Linked DNA regions of Pelodiscus sinensis. The protein of the gene in region 2 interacts with the protein of the main gene of each other region in a pairwise test. Links are inferred from orthologs where the notes say so. Each region holds a gene or a part of one and is shown on either strand. Other genes may lie near its edges.

What was found. The genes of interacting proteins can lie anywhere in the genome.
Region 1: the proteins of VIM (region 2) and KIAA0408 interact in binary tests that used the Homo sapiens proteins (3 or more experiments, as listed by UniProt). The link is inferred for Pelodiscus sinensis from reciprocal best matches to the Homo sapiens genes VIM and KIAA0408.

The regions. Positions count from the first base shown.
Region 1 is NC_134713.1:90,712,004-90,719,567, reverse strand, and holds the start of KIAA0408 (uncharacterized protein KIAA0408 homolog), read left to right. Parts: upstream 1-4,517; 5' UTR 4,518-4,781; intron 4,782-7,564.
Region 2 is NC_134712.1:218,778,022-218,785,769, reverse strand, and holds the start of VIM (vimentin), read right to left. Parts: upstream 3,048-7,748; 5' UTR 2,964-3,047; coding exon 2,419-2,963; intron 1,526-2,418; coding exon 1,465-1,525; intron 1-1,464. UniProt on the Homo sapiens protein: Vimentins are class-III intermediate filaments found in various non-epithelial cells, especially mesenchymal cells. Vimentin is attached to the nucleus, endoplasmic reticulum, and mitochondria, either laterally or terminally.

The DNA of each region.
Region 1 (7,564 bases), on a different chromosome or scaffold from region 2:
CAGTGCACAGTGACACACATTCATTTTCATCATTTGAGTCAGATACCACTAAGAGAAGGGGAATTTTCTTTTTTGATGGTGTAAGTTCTGTAGTTTCTGCAGAGTGTAGCTCTTTTACTTTTAGGACTTCTGACAGCATGTCCCACAATTCATCCCTCTCAATGTTTGGAAGGCACTTCAGATACTTAAACCTTGGGTCAAGTACTATAGCTATCTTAAGAAATTTCACTTTGTTACCTTCTTTGGCTGAACAAGAAATAAGACTGAGTGGACTTATAAGCTCAAGCTTTATATATTTTTGGTTTTGAATGCAGTTATGTTAAAAAAATTTACATTTTTGAAACTGCAAGTGCACGATAAAGAGATTGCACTACAGTACTCTTATTAGATGAACTGAAAAATACTATTTTTAGTCTTTTTACAGTGAAAATATTTGTAATAAAAATAGTAGTGTAACATTAGCTCTGTACACTTTGTATTCTGTGTTGTAATTGAAATCAATATATTTGAAAGCAGAGAAAAATCCAAAAAGATTTATAATTTTAAATTCATATTCTGTAATTGTTTAAAAGCAAAATTAAAACTATAATGAATTGCAATTACTTTTTTATCTTGTGATTATTTTTTAATCATTTGGCATCACTGAAGATACTGTCAAATGTTCAACAGTATGGTAGCACTGTAAAAAAAAAATGAACATTTTAGCTCATTCTCTGGCCTTCGCAGATTTCCCACAAGGGCAGACTCTGAATGTATTTTTTCTTTGAATACAACCAGAGAAATTGAGTCAAGTCTGTTTCCTTTTAACATCCAGATGTACATTCTTTTAAATAGTAAATGCCTCTAAACTATTTTCTAAATTGTAACTGCAAAGTAACTTGCACCTATGAAAATAAATGGTAGTTTGAAAGATCTTGTTCAGGAACAAAGATATTTATTTAATCTGAAAATATGTGTGTCTGCAGTTCCATATTACAGATATAATAAGACATGGGTTTGCTGACATTTGTCGCAAATGCTTTAGAATAAGAACTGGAAGAGAGCAGGTGCCCATATGAAACAGAAATATACCCAGCAGTTGGAGTATAGAAAACTGTCAAAACAATATCTGTCTAAATATGCATTATAAAAAAAGATGAACTGCACATGAACTTGAAGGATTGTTTACATAAACAAGTAGAGCTTTTGAGTATAACAAGCCATTTCTTCTAATCAGCCCAGAATAAGAGGGTCTATTATCACCTATCATCTACTAACTTACATTTCGGACACTGTTATTTTCTTTTAGTGATGGGGAAACAATATGCAAGACCAGTTTCTGCCATAAGTTATGCAGTATTTATTGGCAAGCTATGCTGTAATTTAGGAGAGAAAACATGTTATAAATGTCTATCATAGATTTCCAATGTGACCTTGAGCAAGTTGCATGATGTAACCTTTCTGTGACTCTGTTCCCCCAACTGTAAATTGTGAATAATATTCCCCTCCCTTATAGAGGTGTCCGTAAAGTCATGGGGGTTGCACAGTTGCAATTGTATTTTCTACCAAACCCCTTTTGCGATTGGAATTTAGTTACCGAGTCTGCTGGTGTATGAAAAGTAATAGAATACAGGAATTTTTTTTTTGTAGCCATGTTGACTCTGGTAAATCTTTTAAGAGGAGTAAATCTTTATTCTCGTCACAAAGGGCTAGATCGTGCCCAGAATAGGGGGACCATGTGCAGTTGCATTGCCTCACTGAGAGTTTGAGGAGACACTTAACAGAAAAAAATTCTCTGAACTCTCCGACTTTAATGGGAACATGCCTGCTATTTCATTCTTTTCTTGGAGGCAATTTGCTAGCTGGGTGTCTCCATTCTGCTGTGCATGCTGGTTGGGGGAGCATGCTTTTCCCTCGGGGCAAGCAATTTTGCCTGGTCTTTAAACAGGCTAGAGACAGGGGAAGGCTTCTTGTGCCCTCCCAATCACAGCATGCCCATGTAAGAGTCATGTATACTCTGCCAGTGGTGCCAGCCACACTGGGATCTTGTCTGCTGAATAAGTAGATGCTATTTTAAAACAGTCATTTTCAGGTAGAATCATACTTTAAAAGTAAAATGGAAGGCTCAAATTCTGCCCTCAGGCAAAAACCCCATTTGACTTTCAGGGAGCTGCATAGGGTCAATGCAGAAACACATCTCCTTCATAGTCCCATAAATTTTCATTCTAATCTTCTAATACCCTAACTGACTGCAGGGGAGCTACAATCCTTAGACACCTTTTTGTGTGGCTCACAACATAGACTTCAGTTTGCCTTAGGTCTGGCTTCCTACTGAGTTGCATCATTTTATTCACAGAGCTAACCCTCAAGACCTTGCTCTGTTTTTAGTCGGTCCTCATTCTGACTTGAAGGCAAATCTCAAGTGAATGTCAGTAAAAACTGAGGTCACAATTTGTAAGAGTCTGTGTTTTAATATTTTGTTTCACAGCACTTGGATGACAATAGGCACCAATTTAGTAAAATTTAAATAAATACATTGGAATGATAGTCTATATTTAAGGAACTATAGGATTAAAAGTTCTTAAGATCATACTCCGCCCCTCCTTTTACACCTGTGCAGCCTTGTTGACTCCATTGAAGTTGTGAGAAGAGGGTTGGATCCATAATCCTCAATTAGGGGCTCAGTCCTGCTCCATTTTACATAGGCACAGCTGAGTTGTTTGAGTGTAACTGAGGGCAGAAAGTATCTCTGGGGTTTTAAACAAGAAGGATTTTTAAATGAATGGGCTGAGGATTTTCCTCAGGAACCATCTGTCACATTCAATCATCTTTCTTCTTTCTAAAAAATGGCTTTTGAAACTTGTATAAACAGTCCGAGTCCCATGGCACATCTTTCACAGGGGCAGAGTAAGCACCCAAGTAATATCTTCACTTAGTCTCTGACCATATAAGGAGAAAAAATGTATTTTCACTGCAACCAACTTTGGTGTTGACTGTAAAATGCACCCTCAGCTGAAACTCTTCTATTGTACATTTGTTTTAACATAGGCACACCTTGTCATTCCAAAGGGGGAAAGTGCTGAGTAAGTGATCCCCACAGCGCCTAGGCAGACTATCTCCTTGATCCCACAAGCAAATGCTATTGTTTGTAAGATGCTCAGATTCTGCTCTGGAGGGCCTGAACATTGTTCCCATTCAAGGCAATTAGAATAGCACTCACATGCCTAATAGCAGATGCCCACCAGTCTTCTGTTCAGCACTGCCAGAAGCCGCTGCATACATCTGGAGATGAGCCATGCACAATATAAGTCAATGCAGGTTGCAAATGGTTGAGGGCACAAGTAATCTTAGACCCCAACCTCAGGGTGTAAGCAGAGGCCATCTCAGTTGTAGTTCCCCAGCACAGATAAGCTCCTGAACCACTACTGGTGAAATATGGAAGTGGGGGCAGAAAAGAGACATGTCTCCATTTTCCTGATGCTTTGCCGATGGCAAAGTAGTATGCATCCCGCTCCCCCATACTTGCACACCTTGGGGCTCCTTGGGTCAGATCCCTGCCAAAGTTCCTGCTGAGATTATGTAGGTCCACACCATATCCAGAACAGATCAAATACCAAATGAGCATGGAATTTATAATCTACAGTGAAATGCAACAACACTATTCAATTAGATAGGCAAATACAAGGATTTGTCACAGTGGGCTAGATTCTCTACCCCACTCCATTCAGGCTCCATGGAGAGTAGGGGTATGGTGGTTGTAGCTCCCTAATTCTCCGCTGTCTAGCACCAGCCTAGGTCAGTGTTGCAGAGTAGCAGCTCAAATTTATATAGGCATAAGGTACTTCACTAATGTTACACCTGTGGAGGATATTTGGTAGCAGACCTCAACTTAATCATACACACCCTTTACCTCAAGCCTATCTTGTTTGTCTCCTCCCTCCTCTTGTGCCAGGGTTGTGGGGTGCAGCTGAAACAAGAGACATCTTCCATCATCTCTCCCAGGTTTCTGCCAGCGAAGGGATGTAAAGTAGTAAAAATATTTGTATATATTTTGAATGAGTCATTGTCAGCATTCCTAGAATACAAATAAGATCGGATTACACAATGAGTTGTACTGTCTTATTTCAGAAATGATACTATAATTGAATACAAAAAATAAAGCTTTTAGGGTGGGGGAAAGTGGGTGTTTTAGGGGAGCTGTGGATCATGAAAAGTTGCTCTTATAAACAAATGTACTTTAACAACACAGCTCCTAAAGAACTTAAAATGTGCCCCTCAAAACTGGGTGTGGAATGTAGAAAAGAATCCTACTTTAAAACACAGGGTTGCCTTTAACTAATAAAAGAAATCTAAAATTGTCCATTGTCATAGCTTTAACATTGACATTGGTTGCTTTGGCAAGCTTTAAATACTAGGCTGCACTATAAAACCTAAAAATGTCCTGGACTTGAAGTTGTTTACACAAAATATGAGCAGATATAAAGTTACAGAGGTGGGGGTGGAAGAAATGGCTTTAAAACCATCCTCCATGTACTGACGTCACATGGAACCCAGCTGCCGGGAGGATGCCAAATAGAACTGTTTTTCAGTTTGCAAAACTGAAGTTGTGAAGTTAATCAAAGAGAGTTGCAGTGCTGCTCCGATTGAAAAGTTCTCTCTTTCCTGGCTTCTTGTTTTCTTAAAGGATCAGGATTCACAGAACTGGAACTCCTTATCCCATCTAGCTATGCATTTCACTGCTTTCACTACTACACTGAGAAATGGACTGAAAAACTTCTGAAGGATTGCTTACTCCACAAAAGGTAAGGACGTTTGGAAATCTCAGTGATTTTGGAAGAATTATGGCCTTATTTATGAAATAGAAAAGAAAGTTAACAATACTCAGTATTAAGGCAGTAAACAGTTTGACCAAGGTTTCTTGTAAACATCTGCCTCATTTTTATATTTGCACCTAGAGCAATAATAATTTAAAAGTGTGATGGTGGTTGTTTATTTCTTAAAGAAAGGCTGTTCCATGGTTCAGCCAGTGTTTCCAAACCATGGAATGATTTATTAACAAGAAAGAGATGACAGCCCATTTTTGCCAACCTTTTGTTTTTAAATAATAGAATGACACTCTGAGAGTTTCTTATAGGTTTAATACAAAGTGCATAAAAACTATGATGCCGACCATTTCTTTACAAATATATAAATAGACCTATCATTTATTATCCATCCAGAAACCATCACCTTATCTTACTGTGAATTAACCACTCATAAAAAAGAAGAAGATCTGTTTATCTGAATAGCTGTGTATGTCCGCTATCGTTAATCTGTGGTGAAAAATAACACCTCTTCTGATGTCGCAGCACATTATTTTTAGAAGTTGTCATACCACATCAGAAATTCAGTTCAAATTATTTTGCATTTTTATATGAACATAGAGGGGAGGTGGAGGGAAGAAAGAGTAACATTAGAGACCAGGAGTTGCCTAAACTCTTTATTTGAGAGGAGGAAAGGGTACAGTGAAAAGATAAATACAGCTGATGTTGACAAAATTGATTATTTGCATAAAGTTGATTGCTGTAATGAGCTTTTGACCTTGTCTAGGACATGTGGAAAGTGCCAATATAGCCAGATTTCAGACACTGTAATGTTCCACAAGGCAAATGAAAATCATGGTTGTGCTGGGGTGATAGGCTTTCACATGTGAAAGAAAAAGGTATTTTAATAAAAAGGAAGCAGGGTTTTTTTTTCATTTGTTTGTTTTGCTCAAGCCATGTGGAGTACCTGTGGGAACAGCCCAGTGTTTTATACAAATGGTGAGTTTAATAGCAGTATTAGCGATTGGGATCTTATTTCTAGCTTTCAGAGAGAAAGAAGCAAAGAAAGAGACAACTATAGGGGCAGGGGTCAAAGTCCTCTGAGGCAGTGTTTCTCAACCTTTTTTTTAATAAAGTACCCCCTCTTTAAATAAATATATATATATATATATATATATATATATATATATAGAAATATATATATATATATATATAAAAATACCCCCAGTACCTACAGTTTTCAGACACACAATTTTTTTTCTACTATTGCAACACATTTGTTTAAACAACTTAATCATAGCCGGGAAGGCAATGACATTTTTGGGTGTAAAAAGTACAAAAATAATAAAACATTGTAAAATTTAAAACAAAAATTCAGTTATCTCCAAATTTCAGTTGTGCTGACATACCCCTTCCTCCCCCAGACTTCTCTTGAGTACCTCTAAGGGTACTCATACCACTAGTTGAGAAACACTGCTCTAAGGAATTTACTCGGTAGATTTACTGCAGTAGCGGCCATCAGAGCAAACATCAACAATCATGAGCTTCACTATTATTATTTGCATCTTAAGAGGAAACGTGAAGGGAATAAGAAGTGATATGAAAAGGAAAAGAAACCATGAATGAGAGAGAGAAGCACTTTTGATGGAAAATTACAGTTACAAGCAACTAGTTGCAGCTAACTTTTTCTGGGACTTCATTGCATTTTGATAGTTTCCACTCTGTACCCATCTCAATATGTCTTTAGTTTGTTTTTGCACTGATCTTTGCTGCATGTATCTGAATCATTCAAGAGAAGTCAAGTGAGTGAATAGAGAGATCAGTTTGGTTAATTCCTCCGAAGTCTCTTGAATAAGTTAAAAACGTCTATTAAAAAAGTGAATTACTTCTGGTATGTCCTTCTCCTCCCCAATCTTCCTTCCCCCACAACTTTTGTAGTAAATAAATGAAAAAAAAATTGATATGACTAGATATGCTTCATAGATTGAAACAGATATTCAATATATTGAGTTCAGTTGGCTGAAAAAACTCAGAAAGTGGGTGCTGCTCATGTTGCGGATCCAGCCAAATCAATCTTTTTTGCCCAATAAAGGGGTGAGGAGAGCTTTGCATGAGGCTCAAAAGGGAATTACAAAATTAGATGTAAACTAGTCTACTATATATTTGAGAGAGTTTGTGCATCTGTTTGTCTGTCCATCTGTGCATCTGTTTGTTCAAGAACTCCTCCTGAACCATAAGAGTTAGGACTACCAAATTTAGTCTGCAGCTTCCTCTTATCATAATTTAAAGCAAGGTCAGATTTTTGGTTGTTCCAGGACAATGGGATGTGCATGGATTGTGATTGTTTCTCATCAAATGGAACAAGGGGGCTGTGATAGCAGGAGAGTTATACTCCAGAATAACCACAGAGGGGGAGCAAGCAAGCATGCCCCCAGCAGCCTCTGAGAGCCACAGAGCAGCTGCCATCTGGGCAACATGGCCCCCATTGGCCTCAGGGGGCAACACTATCACCCTCTAGGACCCAAGCAACACCAGGTAATTCTTTTAGTAATCACTACATTAAAGGAAACATGTTCAATAAAGGGAGTAGTTCTTCGTGATCTTACAAATTACATTGACACAACCACTGATCACGAACCAATGCAATCTGCAAGTTTATTGTGAAAAGATATGAATATATATGTTCACTTGATTAACACAACTGTCTGTTCTGAAACCCAAATTTAAGGAACACACAAACTGAATACAGTACATCGTACCATGTATGACTACTGAACTGTCAC
Region 2 (7,748 bases):
TTGGTAACAAAGTCTGAGCTTGCAAGAACACTTCTGGTAGCGTTTACACAGTAGTTCTCAAATAACTTTACCAACAAAGTTATTCCCCACAGCTGTAAAATGTGTAAACTGAGGCACAGATAAGGGAGTTAGAATCATTAGTAGTGTTTGACAGAATGTAAATCACACTGTGAAACCCTACTTAATGTAATTGGGGTTTGGGGCAGATCAGAAAATCAAAAATGTGGATATATTAGAAGAATTGGCAAAGAATATTGCTATTTTAAGATGAGGGCTCAGACAATTGGCTTCAGGCTGCTGGTAATTTGGTTAAGATGGTAAACGGGATAATAGAAGCTTGGATAAGCTTTATTATATCAAGTACACATGTATCAGCATGTTCAAGAAAAAATTTGGAATTCTATTAACTTTCTATTATTTATAGCAGGCACTCAGTTTTCAAACTCAGAATTCAATCATAATTTGTGTTCAATGGATGTATATAGTGGCTAGGAAAACCAAAGGCTAGCATCTCATTTTAATTGCAGATTCATGGTTTTAGTCAGAATTTTGGGTTTATCATGGAAAACTAGTATCCCTGGTCATGACCTCCCTCTAAAATGTGGGCACAGCAAGAAAGACAGCATTATCTGACTTGTAAGTAGAAAAACCTTAATATGAAAAAATTCTCATATGTTGAGGCAAGTTCTTCCTGTAGTAGGTATTTTGAATCAAGACGGGCCATATCTAAAATAACTGGTGTTATAAAACTTTAACTACGCTTACATCATTACACATTCAGTAAGAATGCAGCCTACAGCAAGCCACTCTTCAATACAAAGAGTTCTATTATTTCAATCTGCTGCCACCACACTTGCCATAATGCCTGTATCTGCATTCCATAGTGAATCCCATAGAAACCATTAATACCCTTCAGCCAAGCGAGCAGATGGCTCCCTTTCACCCTTATTGGATCAGAAAGTGATTCTACATTGGAGTGCTTTTGTAGAATTGGCTAGTCTTGGACAAAGCCAACAATAGCAGTTCCCTTGCCCATGTAGGCATCACCCCCACCCCACCGAAAAACAAGTAGTTATTACATGTGAACTTGCACGTTGACTAAAAAGCCAGCCCCTCAAATCTTGCATATTTGCTGCTAAGGTTTCACATGATGGGTCAGACATTATCCCTATTCATACAAGACAACATTTCTATTTCAATTTGTTCATTGCAAATTTGTTCAAAAATCAGACCTGCTATATGTTCTAGCTACTTTAAAACTTAACTGTTTCTAATTTTAGCATTGTCTAGACTAAAGGAATGGCAGATCCCTTGATAAACTTCCTGGAGGTACTGAGAGAAGTCTTGCAATTTTACAAGTTGCTTTTTACCACTAGGTGGCCCTACATCCAACATTATATCAATGTTACACATTTGAATTTACATTCAGTGCACTCATTTTAATATACAAAAATTACTACAAACCTGTCTGAAAGATTGCAGAGTGTTTTCAGCTTCTTCTCGCTGAATCATCTCATCTTGCAACCTGAAAATAGTACCATATAGATTATTAACTTTGGTGGGGGGCAGGAGAGAAGAGAACCTCAGCACTAGGATCTGGTAAAATCCAGCTGGTAGCCACACCCAGCCAACATCCCAGAGGGGGAAGATGGGGCCTCTCAGAAAAGGCATCTCATTCTGACATTTTTCTGGTCTGTGCCTTCTTTATTAAGTTTGCATGACTGGGCTTTGCAGCTTTCTGCTGTTGCAGCAGTCTGAAATCCACAGACAGCCTAACACAAGCAGTGCCAAAACCGTTAATGCTTATTCAGCTAATGAGCAACAAGAGGCTGACCTAGATTTGGGTTGATTTTAAACCCTCTTTTGGTAAATTCAAATTCTGTTAGGCAGCAATATTTAAAGAAGCTGATTGACTTTCAAAACTTTGGTGTGTAAAGCCACCAAAAACTTGTAAGAGTCTCCGAGCAACACAATTAAGTTTAAGGGCTCAGATGAGTGGCAAAGCTAACTTTTGTAATTTTTTTGACTGCATGGTCTTAAAATATCAGACTGAACTTTGGGATTCTCAGACGATGGTAACCACTCGTGATGGTTTTCCACGAAATCCTGCTCCCTGAACTTTAATCTGTACTAGAAGAGCCCGTGACTAATACACATCAGCCTTGTTTTGGCTCACGGTGGTAAATTAGCTCAGGCGTGCCCAAACCGTTAGTTAACCATGTGGGTTGGATCTGTGCGCTCCCGCCACCTCCCTGATGCTGAAGCCTCAGAACAGCTTCCAGCTGTTCTCAGGCGCAGGGGAGGAAGTTTCTCACACTTTGAGGGTACCGACTGCATCTTCGACCCTCCCCCCAGCTCTTGGGTGGAAGTAGCGAGGTTGGGCGCCCCCTCCCCACCCATCCGCCCCGTGGCACTCACTTCTCCCGCAGCCTGAGGATATCGTCGGCCAGGTTGTCCCTCTCCACCTCCACCCTGGCTTTGTCGTTGGTGAGCTGGTCCACCTGCCGGCGGAGCTCCCGCATCTCCTCCTCGTAGAGGTCCCCCAGGCGGGAGGTGCCCTTGCCCTTCAGCTGCTCCAGCTCGGCCAGCAGGATCTTGTTCTGCTGCTCGAGGAAGCGCACCTTGTCGATGTAGTTGGCGAAGCGGTCGTTCAGCTCCTGCAGCTCCACCTTCTCGTTGGTGCGGTTGGCCTTGAACTCCGTGTTGATGGCATCGGCCAGCGAGAAGTCCACGGTGTCGTGCAGGAGCCGCGAGGGGGGCAGGCTGCTCCGCAGCCGCAGGGCCGAGGACTTGGTGGCATAGAGGCCGCCGGGCGAGGAGGAGACCATGCGGCTGCTGCTGGGGCGGATGGCGCTGCCCAGCGAGTAGCGGCTGGAGGAGACGACGTAGCGGCTGCCCGAGGTGCTGGGGCGGCTGCCGCCCCCGAACATCCTGCGGTACGAGGAGGTCTTGGTAGTGCTCATGGCGGCGGCCGGCCGGAGCTTTGTAATCCCAGGCGTGCAGGGTCCGGCTGCGAGAGCGACAGGCGAAGGAGAGCGGCAGCGTCTGCCCGCGGCGGTATTTATACCCCCGCCACGCCCCGAGCTCGGCCCGCTCTGCCGCCAGCCAGCCCTGCCCCGCCCGGCACAGAGCCCCCTCCCCCGCGCCGGGCGGGGCCGGGCCGGGACGCCGGGGTCCCTCCCTCCACTCCCTGCCCGACTTGCTCACAAAGGCTGCGGGCGGGCCGGGGCGCTCTGCAGTGGGGGCCAGTGGCTCGGAATGAGGGGTCAGGGCGGGAGGCTGGGGGAGGCGGGGGCGGGGAGGGCACAAAGAACAGATGGGGGTCTGTAGGAGGCATGGTGTGGGGGAAGGGTCAGTAAGTCGGGTTGCCAACTCTTGACTGAAGCTACTCCTAGACTTGTTCCTCCCCCCCCATATGAAGTAACCTGGCTTTCTTAAACCACCCTAGACTGGCATGATTTTCCGCAAATGCTTTTAACGGAAAAGTTTTCCGTTACAAGCATTTGCGGAAAAGAGTGTCTAGATTGGCACGGATGCTTTTCCGCAAAAGCACTTTTTGCGGAAAAGCATCCGTGCCAATTGAGACGCGCTTTTGCGCAAAAAAACCCCGATCGCCATTTTCGCAATCGGGGCTTTTCTGCGCAAAACAAATCTGAGCTGTCTACACTGGCCCTTTTGGGCAAAAGCTTTGCACAAAAGAACTTTTGCCCGAATGGGAGCAGCATAGTATTTCCGCAAGAAGCACTGATTTCTTACATGAGATCATCAGTGTTCTTGCGGAAATTCAAGCAGCCAGTGTAGACAGCTGGCAAGTTTTTCCGCAAAAGCAATTGCTTTTGCGGAAAAACTTGCTAGTCTAGACGCAGCCCCTATGAAAATCTACTCTATGGTTCAATAGTCACCAGGAGATGGGTACCCATTCTGGGAGTCTCCCGGAGAGTTGGCAACCCTGTCAGTAAGAGGCAGAGTCAGTAGGGACTTAGGTGGCAGGGTGGGAGAACAGAGGAGGGTAAGCAAGAGGCAGGGAGGATTAGGCAAAGGAGAGGAGGGGATGAGAGGGTGAAATAGAAGATTCAGACATGGAAGGAGTCACTGAGGAGGGGACTAGAGAAAAGGGGCCAGAACATTTTGCATGCCTTTTCCTTGCCCTGTGGATAGCATCTAGACTCTCTGCCTTGGCTCTCATACTGTGGGGAGGGGTATCTATGTGCTTTACAAAGCTGAGGGTCTCATGCCCAGACAGGGAGGCCAGGTTCGGGGCAAGTGCAAGATGGAGCATGGCTAGGGTTTAAGGAGGAAAGCAGACTCCCTTTCTCTGGGAGTCATGATGCATGCTGTGCCATACCAGTTGCGTGTGCAGAGGGGAGTGAACTAAGCAAATGCCAAACCGAGTGCTGATGTCTGAGACATGCCCCATACTGGCTGTGCTCATTCTGGGTGTGTTCTCAGTTAGCTTGTGGTGTTCACAGGCCTCTTTGCTCTCACCAAGCTTGTGCATAAGCTGAGCTACTGCTTGTGGTGATCCAAATTGGGGAGAAAGAATGACTGGTCTGGCACAGGCACCCAGGCTACGTCTACGCTGGCATGATTTTCCGGAAATGCTTTTAACGGAAAAGTTTTCCATTGAAAGCATTTTCGGAAAAGCGCGTCTATATTGGCAGGACGCTTTTCCGCAAAAGCACTTTTTTGCGGAAAAGCGTCCGTGGCCAATCTAGACGCGCTTTTCCACAAAAAAGCCCCGATCGCCATTTTCACGATCGGGGATTTTTTGCGGAAAAGAAATCTGAGCTGTCTACACTGGCCCTTTTGTGCAAAAGTCTTTCAGAAAAAGATTTTTGCCCGAACAGGAGCAGCACAGTATTTCCACAAAAGCACTGACAATCTTACATGAGATCGTCAGTGCTTTTGCGGAAATACAAGTGGCCAGTGTAGACAGCTGGCAAGTTTTTCTGCAAAAGCAGATGATTTTGAGGAAAAACTTACCAGTTTAGACACAGCCCCAGAGTCTCTGGTGGCTGCACTTAAGCAGGGAAGAGAATCCCTGTGCTGATTCCTCCTGCACATCAGCTAAAACAAAGTCACACTTACTCTATGTGAAGGGCTATCAAACATGAAACAAATACTGAAAAATAGGGTATGTCTACACTACCCCGCTAGTTTGAACTAGCGGGGTAATGTAGGCATACCGCACTTGCAAATGAAGCCCGGGATTTGAATTTCCCGGGCTTCATTTGCATAAGCCGGCTGGCGCCATTTTTAAATGCCGGCTTGTTCGAACCCCGTGCCGCGCGGCTACACGCGACACGGGCTAGATAGTTCAAACTAGCAAGCCATTCCGCACTATCTGTACACCTCGTTCCAGGGGGCTGCTCTGGCCAGGTCAGGACGATTCCACCACACCTCACTGTGAGCAGGGGATCTGCTCTGGATGGGCCAAACCCGGCTGGAAGAACCTCCCACTGGTTAACTGGTTACCCCAATAAGCATGCTGGTAAAGCACATGTTTACCAGGTCAACCCTTTACATCCCTAAAGTAGATAGAATAGAATATTACCAGAATAGTTGAATTACATACAATCTTGCTCCTGCTTCTTGGCACAACCCTCTATGATTTGGATGAGAGAACAGGCTTCAGTTTAATAATTTCACCATTAAAATGAATGGGAACAGTGTCATTGACTTCAATGGGCACAGGATCAGGCCTAAAGAGAGAAACTGGCTTAACGACAACTGTAGTGAGATGTAGTAGCTGTCAGCCATTACTTGAAGGGTATAAATAACAGGAATCAGATTCTGTGTTATATTGCTGCAAAAGTCCCATTTGTAGTCAATGGGAATTTTGCCTTAGAAGGATGGGCTCTCCGCAGCAGTGTTCCCTGTAAGCTGAGCGCTTGGGTGGCTACCCAGGGGAGATTCAGGCGCTGCCCAGCTGACAGGCAGAGCGCTAACAGCTGACCACAGCCAGCAGCATGTGTTTCTATTGGTGGTACACAACTGCACGTGCCTTGGTGCATATAACAACATTTATTCTGCACATTGATGAAAAATCTTAGAGGGAACATTGTTCTGCAGGAAGAAAAATTATGTAGGAGATATGAGGAGTTAAAACTAGGAGTTACAGAATGATATTAAATAATGAAAAATTTTAGTGGAACATCAGGTGAAAACTCATAGAATCATAGAATCATAGAATAATAGGACTGGAAGGGACCTCAAGAGGTCATCGAGTCCAGCCCCCCGCCCTCAAGGCAGGACCAAGCTCCACCTACACCATCCCTGACAGATGTCTATCTAACCTGTTCTTAAATATCTCCAGAGAGGGAGATTCCACCACCTCCCTTGGCCAGGGGAAAAGTCTTCCCAGGAACATGATGGAAACCCCATTGTTTAAATTCTTTAAAACTAGACAGGTTAAGCACATATATATCCACACACACACACACACACACACACACACACACACACACACACACACACACACACACACACACACACACACACACACACACACACACACACACACACACACACACACACACACACACACACACACACACACACACACACTGTAGGGAACAAATTTGTCATTGATAGAGCCACTAAAACCTTCTAGGTCTTTTCTATCTTTAATTGCTACGAAAACGTTTTTGATCAATTGTATTTTTATATATTTTTAAGTCTCCCACCATCTAGCTCACAACTCTCTAAAAACTAATAGTTATATTGGATGCTGATGCATTTGAATGTACAGATGAACAGTGAAAAAGTTGCAAAGTATAGTGTCCGAGTCTCCTATCGTAGGGCACAATCAAATGAGTGGAATTAACTGTATCCCATGGTGAAGAATATGGTGCAAAATATTTTGTGAAGAGATGTTTTATAAAGAAATGGTGCTGTATCTTTATTCTGGATAGTGTCTTCAAGTAATGGAATATGGTTTAAATCTAAATTAAGCGATTTTGGGGTTTTGGACCTCTCTGCTGCCCTTCTTCAGGCCTTAATTTGTTATTTACATTGCAGCTTTGTCAAGCAAGCAGTGCTGACATATTTGAGCTATGGAAATGTTTTCAGCCCAAGTCTTGCACTATAGTTCACTTCATTTGTTGATTCAATAGGATGCAGGGGTCACACACATACACAGAATTTCTGGGGCTAACTGTACTGGCATCCTCTCCTGTTCTCAAATGTGCCATCCTAGCTTCCTGGGAATTCTTTCTTCAGCCATCAAGTGACTACTATAAACCTTTGTGAGTCTCCTTACATCCTGGCTCAAGAATACACACTCCCTCCATGAGAAACGAGAAGTAAGGCACATGACAAGCAGCCTCATAGATTAAAAATATTTTACTTGCTAAGTACTGATAATTTAGCAGTACTTTTTAAAAAAAAGATGTGCCACACCCAGTCAGCTCTTTGCTGTTACTAACAGAACATTAATTGTTTATGCTTTACATATTCATGAGTGTCATGTTTTCAGCATGTATTTCTCCACAAATTGAGGGTGTTTGTGTTATCAATTCAATATGAAAACCCTAATATTTAAATATTAATAGGGGTATGTTTGTGCCATTCTAACTGGGGCACTTCTTGGCCAGTAGCCTTTCTGTTGCTTTTTGCTGTGAAATTTCCAAGAAATGTTAAGAAGTTGGCAGTGTGGTAATCAGATTGGCATTAAACCTTTAATGTCATTTGATGGGTGGTACATAAGTGAGGGAAGGTGCAATGAGTTTCTCCCCAATTGCCAGATC